Drosophila melanogaster: one gene and its partner. The gene in region 1 interacts genetically with each later gene. Each region holds a gene or a part of one and is shown on either strand. Other genes may lie near its edges.

What was found.
Region 2: of Nle (region 1) and dx, changing one suppresses a phenotype caused by changing the other (phenotypic suppression), as found in Drosophila melanogaster (one study listed by BioGRID).

What each region holds. Positions count from the first base shown.
Region 1 is NT_033779.5:565,536-570,416, reverse strand, and holds Nle (notchless), read left to right. Parts: upstream 1-2,295; 5' UTR 2,296-2,352; coding exon 2,353-3,328; intron 3,329-3,386; coding exon 3,387-3,737; intron 3,738-3,792; coding exon 3,793-3,919; intron 3,920-3,944; exon of another isoform or gene 3,945-3,978; coding exon 3,979-3,991; 3' UTR 3,992-4,051; downstream 4,052-4,881. Other genes in the region: Sf3b1 (splicing factor 3b subunit 1), read right to left, coding at 1-1,069, 1,127-1,818, 1,984-2,011; CG2794 (uncharacterized protein), read right to left, coding at 4,088-4,881. UniProt on the Drosophila melanogaster protein: Plays a role in regulating Notch activity.
Region 2 is NC_004354.4:6,532,256-6,539,439, forward strand, and holds dx (deltex), read left to right. Parts: upstream 1-1,743; 5' UTR 1,744-2,157; coding exon 2,158-2,646; intron 2,647-3,265; coding exon 3,266-4,549; intron 4,550-4,611; coding exon 4,612-4,754; intron 4,755-4,822; coding exon 4,823-5,123; 3' UTR 5,124-6,320; downstream 6,321-7,184. Other genes in the region: RpL7A (ribosomal protein L7A), read right to left, coding at 43-166, 235-249.

The DNA of each region.
Region 1 (4,881 bases):
ATAAAACACGATCAATTACCTTCACTAATAAATGACGCTCTTGGTCCTCCAATGTGGGCGACATAAGCAACGGAAGAATCTGGTTAAACAAAGGTCCTGCTCCGAATTCCCTTGCTTTGTCCGTAATCTGCCTCAAGGCCGACTTTCTCATTGGTGGCGAGCCGTTCTTGATGGTCAGCAGTAGCTTCATTATCTTGCGCTCCTTGAGTTCCTCAGGCGACAGAGAGTCTTCGTTCACGTCTACAAGTAGCTTGTCAAAATATTGCGCATCCTCTGGTTTCATGAAGGGGAGATTTTGCCCCTTTGGTTGGTTATCCATGAATTTGGCATTCTTGTCCTCCACTTGGATGAAGAAACCGGCTGGGGTGCCAGCAATTGGCGTAGGCGTGGCCATCAGCTTTCTGCCGGGAGTGCGCAGTGGAACATAGCCAGCTGGTGGCGGTAGAATTTTGTAACCAGGCGGAAAGATTTGGTCCAACTCTTCGTCTGTGTATGGCCTGTTTCTCTCGTCGATTTCCTTTTCCCAGCGATAGGCTTGCAATTGCTCTGGTGTCATCGCAGCCAGAGCTCCCGCAGAGGGCGTGGCCATGGCCATTGCCTTGACTCCGATAGGAGTACTGCCTCCGGGCGTCAGCATGGGAGTAGCATGTCCCGGAGTCACATGTGGCGTCATACTGGGAGTCATATTTGGAGTCATGGCACTCGCATTTGTAGGAGTAATAGCCGGCGTAGCATTCGAGGGCGTTTCATCCCAACGAGAGCGACGTTTGGAGGCCCCGGGGGTGGACTCGATTGATATGCTCTCCGCGCCGCCTCCACTGCCTGTGCGATCTGGCTTTGGAGTCTCGGCCCATCCGCTGTGTCCGGGAGTCTCACGCTCTGTTTTCGGGGTTTCGTCCCAGCGATTTCGACGGGCCGACTTCTCGTGTCCAGGAGTCTCGTGTCCTGGGGTCACAGCGTGGGCCGGAGTGGCGTCCCAGATGCGGGTGCCCAGTCCCGGCGTCGCTCCTGGCGTCTCGCTGCCCTTGTGACCCGGAGTCTCATCCCAACGGTGGTCTCCAGGAGTTTTCTACGGAGTAAATTAATATTTTATTATATCATCCATTATACTTCCCAGAATACTCACATCTTCCCAAGTTGGGGTAGCTGCGCTGCTTGGCGTGGCCATCTTGGCCGGGATGAAGCTGTCGCTGACCGTCTGGTCCCATCTGCCTCGCTTTCTGCCGCCGTCCTTTGGTGCAGGCAGGTCCCCATTTGAAGTTGACGACGATGTAACGGTCTTTACCAGAGTTCCCTCCTTGGTTTTCTCCAGGATTCTTCGGCGGAGCTCAGATTCCTCGCCCTTCAGCATCTGCTCCCGCATGATGTCCGTGTAGGTGCGAGAGCCCACATCTGGGGTTTTCCCGCCATCGGCAAAGGGATCCGCTCGCTCTGGGGAAATGATGATGTGACGTCTCTTCTGCCTGTACTCATCCTCCCGATCGGCAATCGTTGGACGCCTGCGGTCTGCCATGGGATCCACATCCTCCTTGCCCTGGGTCACGTCCTTTAGCACGGAGGCCGGCGCCGTGTACGTGGTGCGTTTCTGGGGCACGGGGAAGCCGTCGTCCTCATCCTCATCGACTTCCTCGGCGTCGTTGGCCGCAATGGAGGTGTTGTACCCCTCGTAACGCCCCTTCCCCTTGGCGGCATCATCGTCGTACAAGTCGCTGTCGAAGAATCCTCCGCTGTCCAGCAATCCCACGCCGGCTGCTGCGGCAGTGGTCTTGGCCAACTCCGTCTTCTTCTCCTGGATCACGCTGATCTGTGCCTCGATATCTGTGAGTAAAAATAGGTAAAGATACTTGATTTTCATAGTAGACCACCAGCCAGAAAAACCGGTCGATCCCCATTTGTGTGTGCGGTTCCTTTTGGTGCGCAGATAGTATATTTACGTTTTGGCAATGGCGGTGGTTTGCCACCGTGAGTGTTTATATCGCTTACCTTCATGTGTTCGCGGAATATTTTCCATTTTTATAAAAACTTTACCAAGAGAAGAGCGTACATGTAAAACCAGTGTTACCAGATGATAATAGCGCCTGGTCTAAGTGTGACCAAATACATATCATATCGTACTAGCAGCTATCGGGAAACATTCGATTTCTTAAATCTTCTCATTCCACCCGATATTGATGATGATATTTTGGACAACTTTTATTACAAAGTTCGATACAAAATATAAATGCATTATTTGTTTATTATTTTTTAAGCAAATAATAATCGATAGCTGGCAGGCCAGCTGAGCCGTCTGCCGATTGCTCATCACTAACGAACAAGTTGCGGCACGTGTTTACTTTTGTTTTGACCGCGAGAATGTTGGCCAAAAAACAGAAAATGCAGGAGACGGACACGGAGCAAGAGGCCACGCCACATACGATACAGGCGCGCCTCGTTTCGGACACGGGCGAGGAAGCGGGCCCGCCAATCGACCTGCCGGCAGGAATCACTACCCAGCAATTGGGTCTGATTTGCAACGCGCTGCTGAAAAACGAGGAAGCCACTCCATATTTGTTTTTCGTGGGCGAGGATGAGATCAAGAAGAGCCTGGAGGACACGTTGGACTTGGCGTCAGTGGACACCGAAAACGTGATCGATATTGTGTATCAGCCACAGGCGGTTTTCAAAGTGCGCCCAGTGACAAGATGCACGAGTTCCATGCCGGGACACGCCGAGGCTGTGGTTTCGCTGAATTTCAGCCCGGATGGTGCTCATCTCGCCAGTGGAAGTGGCGACACCACAGTGCGATTGTGGGATCTTAACACAGAGACACCGCACTTCACCTGCACAGGTCATAAGCAGTGGGTTCTGTGCGTATCCTGGGCTCCGGATGGCAAACGGTTGGCCAGCGGTTGCAAAGCGGGCTCTATAATCATCTGGGACCCGGAGACGGGTCAGCAGAAGGGGCGACCCTTGAGTGGGCACAAGAAACACATCAACTGCCTCGCCTGGGAACCGTATCATCGCGATCCGGAGTGCAGGAAACTTGCTTCCGCCAGTGGAGACGGGGACTGCCGGATTTGGGACGTGAAATTGGGCCAGTGCCTTATGAACATTGCCGGACACACAAATGCTGTGACAGCAGTGAGATGGGGTGGAGCGGGCCTTATTTATACATCCTCCAAAGATCGCACAGTGAAGATGTGGCGAGCAGCTGATGGAATCTTGTGCCGGACGTTCTCTGGCCACGCTCACTGGGTAAACAACATTGCGCTGAGCACCGACTACGTCCTGCGCACTGGTCCATTCCATCCGGTGAAGGATCGCTCCAAGAGCCACCTCAGTTTGAGCAGTAAGAATTCATATGCTCTCTATATATGCTGTATATCCTAAAAGAGATTGTTTTACAGCTGAGGAATTGCAGGAATCTGCCTTGAAGCGCTACCAGGCCGTGTGCCCTGACGAGGTGGAGTCGCTGGTTTCCTGTTCGGATGACAACACCCTCTATCTGTGGCGGAACAACCAGAACAAGTGCGTTGAGCGCATGACAGGGCACCAGAACGTGGTCAACGACGTGAAATATTCGCCGGATGTAAAGCTAATTGCGTCTGCTTCATTTGACAAGTCAGTGCGTCTGTGGCGAGCCAGCGATGGTCAGTACATGGCCACCTTCCGGGGTCATGTGCAGGCTGTTTACACGGTTGCCTGGTCCGCGGACTCCCGCTTGATTGTTTCCGGCAGCAAAGACTCAACTCTAAAAGGTTAGCACGTAGTTTCAGTTTTCTAGCGCTAGCTAATACATATCCTCTTGCTTAGTATGGAGTGTGCAGACGAAGAAACTGGCACAGGAGCTGCCTGGACATGCGGATGAGGTGTTCGGAGTGGACTGGGCGCCCGATGGCTCTAGAGTTGCCTCTGGTGGCAAGGACAAAGTTATAAAGCTGTAAGTTTGAGTAACGAGGTTTTCTATAACAATATACAGACTCTAATTGTATCTTTCAGATGGGCTTATTAACAAATCATTAACTTGTACACGGTAAGAAAATACTTAGGAATAAAGTAAAACGTCCTGAGTAAATGCCTTCGTTCTTTTTGGTGTTCAAAGTACCATCTATATGCTCTGCTGTTGAATGATCCGGGCAGTATGCTTGTAGCGACTCTCAAAAGATTCTTGATTTGAGAAGTACGTTGCGGGAACGGCGGACTCAGACTGCAGTGCCCTTTCAGCGGCCACAAAGCCGCCGGCGATGCACTCGTCCAGAGATCGCCCTCGCAGCAGGGCAGTGATGAAGCCCGCGCAGAAACTATCGCCCGCTCCGGAGACATTCACAATATTGTGAACCATGGGAGCGGGATAGAAGCGAGTGCTGTGTGGCGGCGTGGGCTTACTCACATCGAGGAGCAATCTGGCATCGTTTTCAGCGTCCCCTCGATAGCTGAGTAGCACCCCGTGGTCACTCAGCGTAGCTATGATGCAATTGAAGTGGCTGTCGATTTTTTTGATCAAGGACTTCGCTTGCTGAACCAGTTCCGTTTGTGGCTGTTTGGTTTCTGGATTCCATTTGACAGTTTCGCCCGTTATAGCCTCCGTAATAGTTTTCAACTCCTGCATATTCGGTTTGATCAGGCGTATGTTCTTGGTTAACTCCGGCAGCAGCTTGAACGGTTTACCGGCTATGAACATATCTGTGGGCTCGAAGAAGACTGGAATCTTGTTGATTTGCGCCTGCTGCAGAATGCTGGCCATGGCCTGCTCCGATATGTTGCTGTCCATGATGATGAGAGGAGCTTCTCGGAAGAGTTGGTGGTGCGCTTGCAGGGTCTCGGCTGTAATGCTCTGGTGGATTTCCATGTTGCCCAGAATCAGCTTGCAATCTCCAAACTTATCGAAGATTAGGGAGCACA
Region 2 (7,184 bases), on another chromosome or scaffold:
GCTGCAATATTCATATATATAGAATATGTTTTGTGCACTTACCGATTCCGAAGTTCTTGGGACGCTTCTCGAACAGCTGGTTAACAACCTTCTTGACCACGGGCTTCTTGACAGCCAGAGGAGCGGGAGCCACCTTCTTGGTCACTGGCTTCTTCTTTGGCCTGGGCTGTAAACGCAATGAAAACACGCATTAGGTTAATTCGAGTTAACAGCAAATTTACGCCGATAACTCACCTTCTTGACAACCATTTTCAAGCGGTTTTAAAGTTTGCTACCGAAATAAGCAGTTGCTAAAAAAGAATTAGCACATTAATACGTTTTAAACTTGGTAAAGTTAATGGGAAAACACGCAAAACTTCGGCGACCAGCAAAACACGTGCATGAAAAATGTAAGTACGGAAAGAAAAAAAAAACCATGTTGCTTGCGTGTGTGTGTGTGTGTGTGTGTGATAATTGGGTATAAACAACACACGTTTTTTCGCAGATTTTCCGAAGAAATCTACTCCGTTTTCATTAAATTGAAGAAATATTACTTTCATTTTGATAACTTTGAAGTTTTAAGGTTTCTTTAACAACACTTCTACACACACACTCCATACACCTGCACCAACACATGCACAAAAACATGCCGCAACGCACATTTTTGTTCAAATGGGTTGGAATTTGGCAATTTCACTACAAAAAAAAAAAAGGTTTTCGGAGTATACTGCGTACTTCACGTGTTGTTTACACTTTGTTCTTTTAAGTGGCACATTTAAATCCGGCTTTGGAAGCCCACAGAAAAAAAATTATACAAAAAATTTGGTTTTGCACACATTTTCGCCGGCCGCGTAGTTTTTGGGTGAATTTCTGGAATTGTGAGCTTTACCTGTGATAAGCACGACCACGAACGTATCGAAATACTCGCTGAAAGTAAATAAAATATTGGTTTTTAGCACAAAATTCAGGACTGCTCGCTAGGCACATGCACTCACCGGAAACGTGGAACGAAAAAGAAAGGAAGTGGCAGTTCCAATGTTGGAAATCGAGTAGATTCGATCTGACCGTGCCACATTTGCACCGAAACGCCAAAAGAAGCGATATACCGAGGTGAGAGGCTATGCTTATTCTTAGCAGAGACTCGCTCCATTTATGTTTTAAAAATTTTAAGGTACATCAGATAAGTTAAAAAACAATGTTATTTAAGCGTAACTTCTTTTTTAATAGGCCAGCGCTTGAAAACGAATCAAATCGTGGTCAGAATACCTTTCGTTTAAATAAAAATAATATATCTAACATTCCATCCTATCTAGGACATACACCACAAATGTGATCGTTACAGCAAAGACATGCTCAAATTATGAATTTCTTAAAAGTGACCGATTTGTATTACCGAAAATCTTGAAAAGAAATACTAAATAGAAAGAAACTTTGGAAGCAGCCAGTGTTGGAGGTCGCGTTGCTTAAGAAAAGTAGCTTAAACTTGCCAAAGTAAATAAAAAATATTGAAATTAATATCAAGTAAAATCATTGCAAGTTCTTATTTTTTTCATTTCAATATAGAATTCAATTACACATATATTAATTGATTAATTAACAAGCTAAAAATAGTATCTGTTTATATTCAAGTGCAAGAAAAGAAAATAAAAAATATTAAACATTTAGCTAGATCTAGCTAGCAACCAGTTATGCCAACCCTGAAACTACCGAATCCAACTGGTGGCTGCAGATGCAGTGCGGTATTTTCATCCGGCCTTATTTAGCCATTTTCCGCTGTTGTCTCTCATTAAATCGCTGTCCAACAATAAAAATTTCTCGCCTGCGCTTGCGCTAAATGCTAGAAAAACTGTTTTTACCATCAAACGTGAATTCTTAAGCTGCGCCTAAACGAAACCGAGTGACTAAAGAACCAGAACGAAAACTTCGGGAAAATGGAAGCCAGGGAAAATCAGGGATAACTAACGCTGGCAGCGGGTCCACCATTTTTAATTTCTTTGTTTATTTTGTGCCCATCTTCGCGAGCGAGCGAGATAGCGCGACAGCAACAGCAAGAGAGAGCGAGAGAGAGAGAGTGAGTGAGTGAGAGCTAGTGAAGAGAGCGCAGGAGGAGTTGGATATGGAAATGGGCATGGATATGGCAATGGGCTCACTCCACGGATAACGGATCAACTGCAAGCAATGGCCAGCAGCGCCGGAAGTGCGGCATCCGGATCCGTTGTTCCCGGTGGCGGAGGTAGCGCCGCCTCCAGTTGTGCCACCATGGCCCTGTCCACCGCCGGATCCGGTGGGCCGCCCGTGAACCACGCCCACGCCGTCTGCGTGTGGGAGTTCGAGTCGCGCGGCAAGTGGCTGCCCTATTCGCCGGCGGTGTCGCAGCACTTGGAACGCGCCCACGCCAAGAAACTGACGCGCGTCATGCTGAGCGATGCGGATCCCAGCCTGGAGCAGTACTACGTCAACGTGCGCACAATGACCCAGGAATCGGAGGCGGAAACGGCCGGCTCCGGCCTGCTGACCATCGGTGTTCGGCGCATGTTCTACGCACCCAGCTCGCCGGCGGGCAAGGGCACCAAGTGGGAGTGGTCGGGCGGCAGTGCCGATAGCAACAACGACTGGCGGCCCTACAACATGCACGTCCAGTGCATCATCGAGGACGCCTGGGCGAGGGTGAGTGCCGTGCAGAATCGAATGTTTTCCCATTGGCAGTCTAGTTGGAATTTTGAGTTGCTCAGGAATTTTTTTATCGGGAGAATATATGGGGAATCTTAAAAGAGTGTGGGTTTACCACTGATCCTGAAGAATTGGCTAAGGATGCACCAGTCTGTGATGTGTCCATAGGTGTTTAAATAGTACATATAAGCCAAATTCCACAGTTCACATCTCAGCCAAAAAACGTAGTAGATCGAAGAAGTGTACCTTTTTGAATTTCTGATGCTTAGACAAATAAATCTGCATTTAAATTTTTTAGCTAAAATCAAATTAATTTTTTTTTCAAAAATTTCCATTTTTGCAACCTCAAAATGGGACAAAAAAATTGAAAAAAAATTTAATTTTCACTTTTGTAAAAGTTTGAATACAGAAACTTTCTGCTTTAAAAATAATGACTATTAAAATCATTCGCACTTAAATCGCTGGAGTTTTGGCTGAGTTATGGTATTATGATCAAATTTTAGGGGCTATATAAATTTATTCTTCTTCTTGCACAAAGTCCAACTGCAACCGCATATCAATCAATCAATATCATCAATTATAGATTGTAACATAACTTATTCCTACTCCCTTGCAGGGCGAACAAACCTTGGACCTGTGCAACACCCACATCGGCCTGCCGTACACCATTAACTTTTGCAATCTCACCCAGCTGCGCCAACCCAGCGGACCCATGCGCAGCATTCGGCGTACCCAACAGGCGCCGTATCCCTTGGTGAAACTAACGCCACAACAGGCCAACCAACTCAAGTCGAATTCCGCCAGCGTGAGCAGCCAGTACAACACTCTACCCAAACTGGGAGACACCAAGAGCCTGCACAGAGTGCCCATGACCAGGCAACAGCACCCATTGCCCACCAGCCATCAAGTGCAGCAGCAGCAGCATCAGCACCAGCATCAACAGCAGCAGCAGCAGCAACATCATCACCAGCATCAGCAACAACAGCATCAGCAACAGCAGCAACATCAGATGCAGCACCATCAAATCCATCATCAGACGGCGCCCAGGAAGCCGCCCAAGAAGCACAGCGAGATCTCCACCACCAATCTACGCCAGATACTCAACAACCTAAACATCTTCAGCAGCAGCACTAAGCACCAATCGAACATGTCGACGGCGGCCAGTGCCAGTTCATCCTCCTCATCGGCCTCGCTGCACCATGCCAACCATCTGTCGCATGCGCACTTTTCGCACGCCAAGAACATGCTGACTGCCTCGATGAACAGTCATCATAGTCGCTGCTCGGAGGGATCGCTGCAGTCGCAAAGGAGCAGCCGGATGGGCTCGCATCGCTCGAGATCGCGTACGCGGACCTCGGACACGGACACGAACAGTGTGAAATCGCATCGGCGGAGACCCAGTGTGGACACTGTGTCCACTTACCTCAGCCACGAGAGCAAGGAGAGCCTGCGCAGCAGGAACTTTGCCATTTCGGTCAATGATCTGCTGGACTGCTCGCTTGGCAGCGATGAAGTTTTTGTGCCCTCGCTGCCGCCATCGTCGCTGGGCGAAAGGGCGCCGGTGCCGCCGCCATTACCACTGCATCCGCGACAGCAACAGCAGCAGCAACAACAGCAACAGCAGCTGCAGATGCAACAGCAGCAACAGGCGCAGCAGCAGCAGCAGCAATCAATCGCCGGTTCGATTGTGGGCGTGGACCCGGCCAGCGATATGATATCGCGTTTTGTCAAGGTGGTGGAGCCACCGCTGTGGCCCAATGCCCAGCCCTGTCCCATGTGCATGGAGGAGCTGGTGCACTCCGCCCAGAATCCGGCCATTTCGCTGAGTCGCTGCCAGCATCTCATGCATTTGCAGTGCCTCAATGGGATGATAATTGCCCAGCAAAACGAAATGAACAAGGTGAGCACGCGAAAGCGATGCCAATTAGAAAGAGAAAGTTTATTTAAATTTCATTCCCCTAGAACCTTTTCATCGAGTGCCCTGTATGCGGCATCGTTTACGGCGAGAAGGTTGGCAATCAGCCCATTGGCAGCATGTCGTGGAGCATAATCAGCAAGAATCTGCCAGGACACGAGGGTCAGAACACCATACAGATTGTTTACGAGTAAGTGTGAATGTGCCTGTGGCCACTGAGCAATCAACTATAATCACTCTTTTTCATTTGCATGGCAGCATTGCATCGGGACTGCAGACGGAGGAGCATCCGCATCCGGGTCGTGCCTTCTTCGCCGTGGGATTTCCGCGGATCTGCTACTTGCCGGACTGCCCGCTGGGGCGAAAAGTGCTGCGCTTCCTCAAGATTGCATTCGATCGTCGGCTGCTTTTCTCGATCGGACGATCGGTGACCACCGGACGCGAGGATGTGGTGATCTGGAACAGTGTGGATCACAAGACGCAGTTCAATATGTTTCCGGATCCCACCTATTTGCAACGAACCATGCAACAGCTGGTGCACCTGGGCGTGACGGATTAAGGATTAGTTCCCTGTCCCCGAGTAGAACTACCAACCAACCAATCAACCAACCACCCACCCACCGAAGTCCCCTCGATCATTCTCTTCCATTCGTCGTTAAGTTACTTTCTACATAATCTCAGTGTGTGTGCAATCCTCGTTTACTATGATATATTTTTTTTATAGATATATTGTAATAGCGTTCGAGCTGCTCGAACCCTAAAACAACAGCAAACCACAATTGCAATTGTAGCTTCCTTTCCGCTCTTCCAATTCGTATTTGTACGCACATACGCAATAAGTTGGCGTACATCATATGTATTAGCTAGTTAGTTAGTTAGTTAGTTGTAGCTGTAGTTCCCAAGAGAATCTTGACCCAAGACACCTACTAGTATTAGGCATTATCCTGATTCTTGATTCCTGATTCGATTCAAGCCAAGCCAAGCCACGCCATTCGAGTGCAAGCTGTGCCAAAATCGTAGCGCTCCCGTTTATAGGATATGTATATTGTTGATATAGCTAGCTATAACCATTGCCCATCTCTCCATCTCTCTCGGTTTCGAATTTGTCTCTTTCATCAGATCCATGTGAATTTTCTTTATATCGGATTTATATAGGATTAAAATAGTATTTTGAGAGAGGAAATGGAGATGGGTAAATTCGATAGACTTGTCTCACTTGTCTTGGCCATTTAATCTCTTTCATTCAGCGAATTTGATGTGATTTTAATTTGAATTATTCATTATTAAACGGAGCATTTAGGAAGCATAGTTGTAACGCAGCCAGATATTCCATTACGCATATACATATACATATACATATACATACATACATAAACATATTTTAACATAGCCCCATAGCCATACGACATAACAATAATTTTTTTTATCGAATCCCTTGCATACATTTGATGAATTGTTGCTTTCATATTGATATCATCGAGCATCGAACGAACTATCGTATACATCGCCAATATATAGCATATATAGCATATAGTATGTAGAGATCGTACGGACAGCTAGCGGCTACTGACCGCGCCACCATATTTGATATATGATATGATATGATTTTACTAAGTTGTATTTAGCACTGATTAGTTATTAAAGTTCATTGCGAATATTCCACAACAAATTCCACACCATTTATGTATGCATATTACGCATATATAATACAGTACATTTATATATAGTTCAAATAAAGTAACTTTCATTCATGTTCAAATTAAGTCTTTCTTTTGGGATATTTATTCACTCATGTCTAAAAGGAAATCTTTCTTTTTGGACTTTTTCACTTATGTATGTATGTTCGAATGAGTTCTTTCTTTTGGGACTTTTTTCTTTATGCCTCTTATGTTATATTATTCACTCAATTGTGCCATGCTGCTTGTAAACTAATTACCAGCACAAGCTTAAATTCCAATTAGGTGGCTCTATGGCATTGTTGCATTGTTGCCAGTTTCTTACCAATGCGGTGCAATTCAAATCAATCAGTTGACATTTTTGGAACTTCCAAGGTTTAGCTGTTTTCAGTTTTCGGTTTTCGTTTTCAGTCTACGCCGCCGTGAATCACTTAAAATAAATTAATAAAAGACAAAAAATCCGATGCATTTTTTTTTTTTTGTCATTGTGCAGTGCAGCGAGTGCGTGATGTGTTGGTGATGTTGGATATGCTGGTGATGTTGGCGATGCTCTGGTGAAGTTGCTCCGGGCCATTTAAGGCGCAGCGGCAACAAGTTGAAGACGTGTTGTCGTTGTCGCCATGTCGCCTCTTCAACTGCCTACGTGCTGACGTCAGGCAGGCGCAAGGACAGTGTCCAAAAGTGGACAATATATATATAGCGTGGCCCAGAGCGGCTTTCACTGCTCCTCCTCCAAGGGCGGCCAATCATTCGGCCGCAGCTGTTCTTGTTGCAAGTCGTTAGTTTGGCATTAGCAGCACTTGGCCAAGTCTACGATGTGAAAGGATCGAGGAGCAACTGAAAGTTGTAGATTTCTCTGGCTTTGGGCCTGCTTCATATCTATGGATCATCAAGTGATCATTAGATATTGGGATATAGATACAACTCTTTTCAGCTTGAGCACT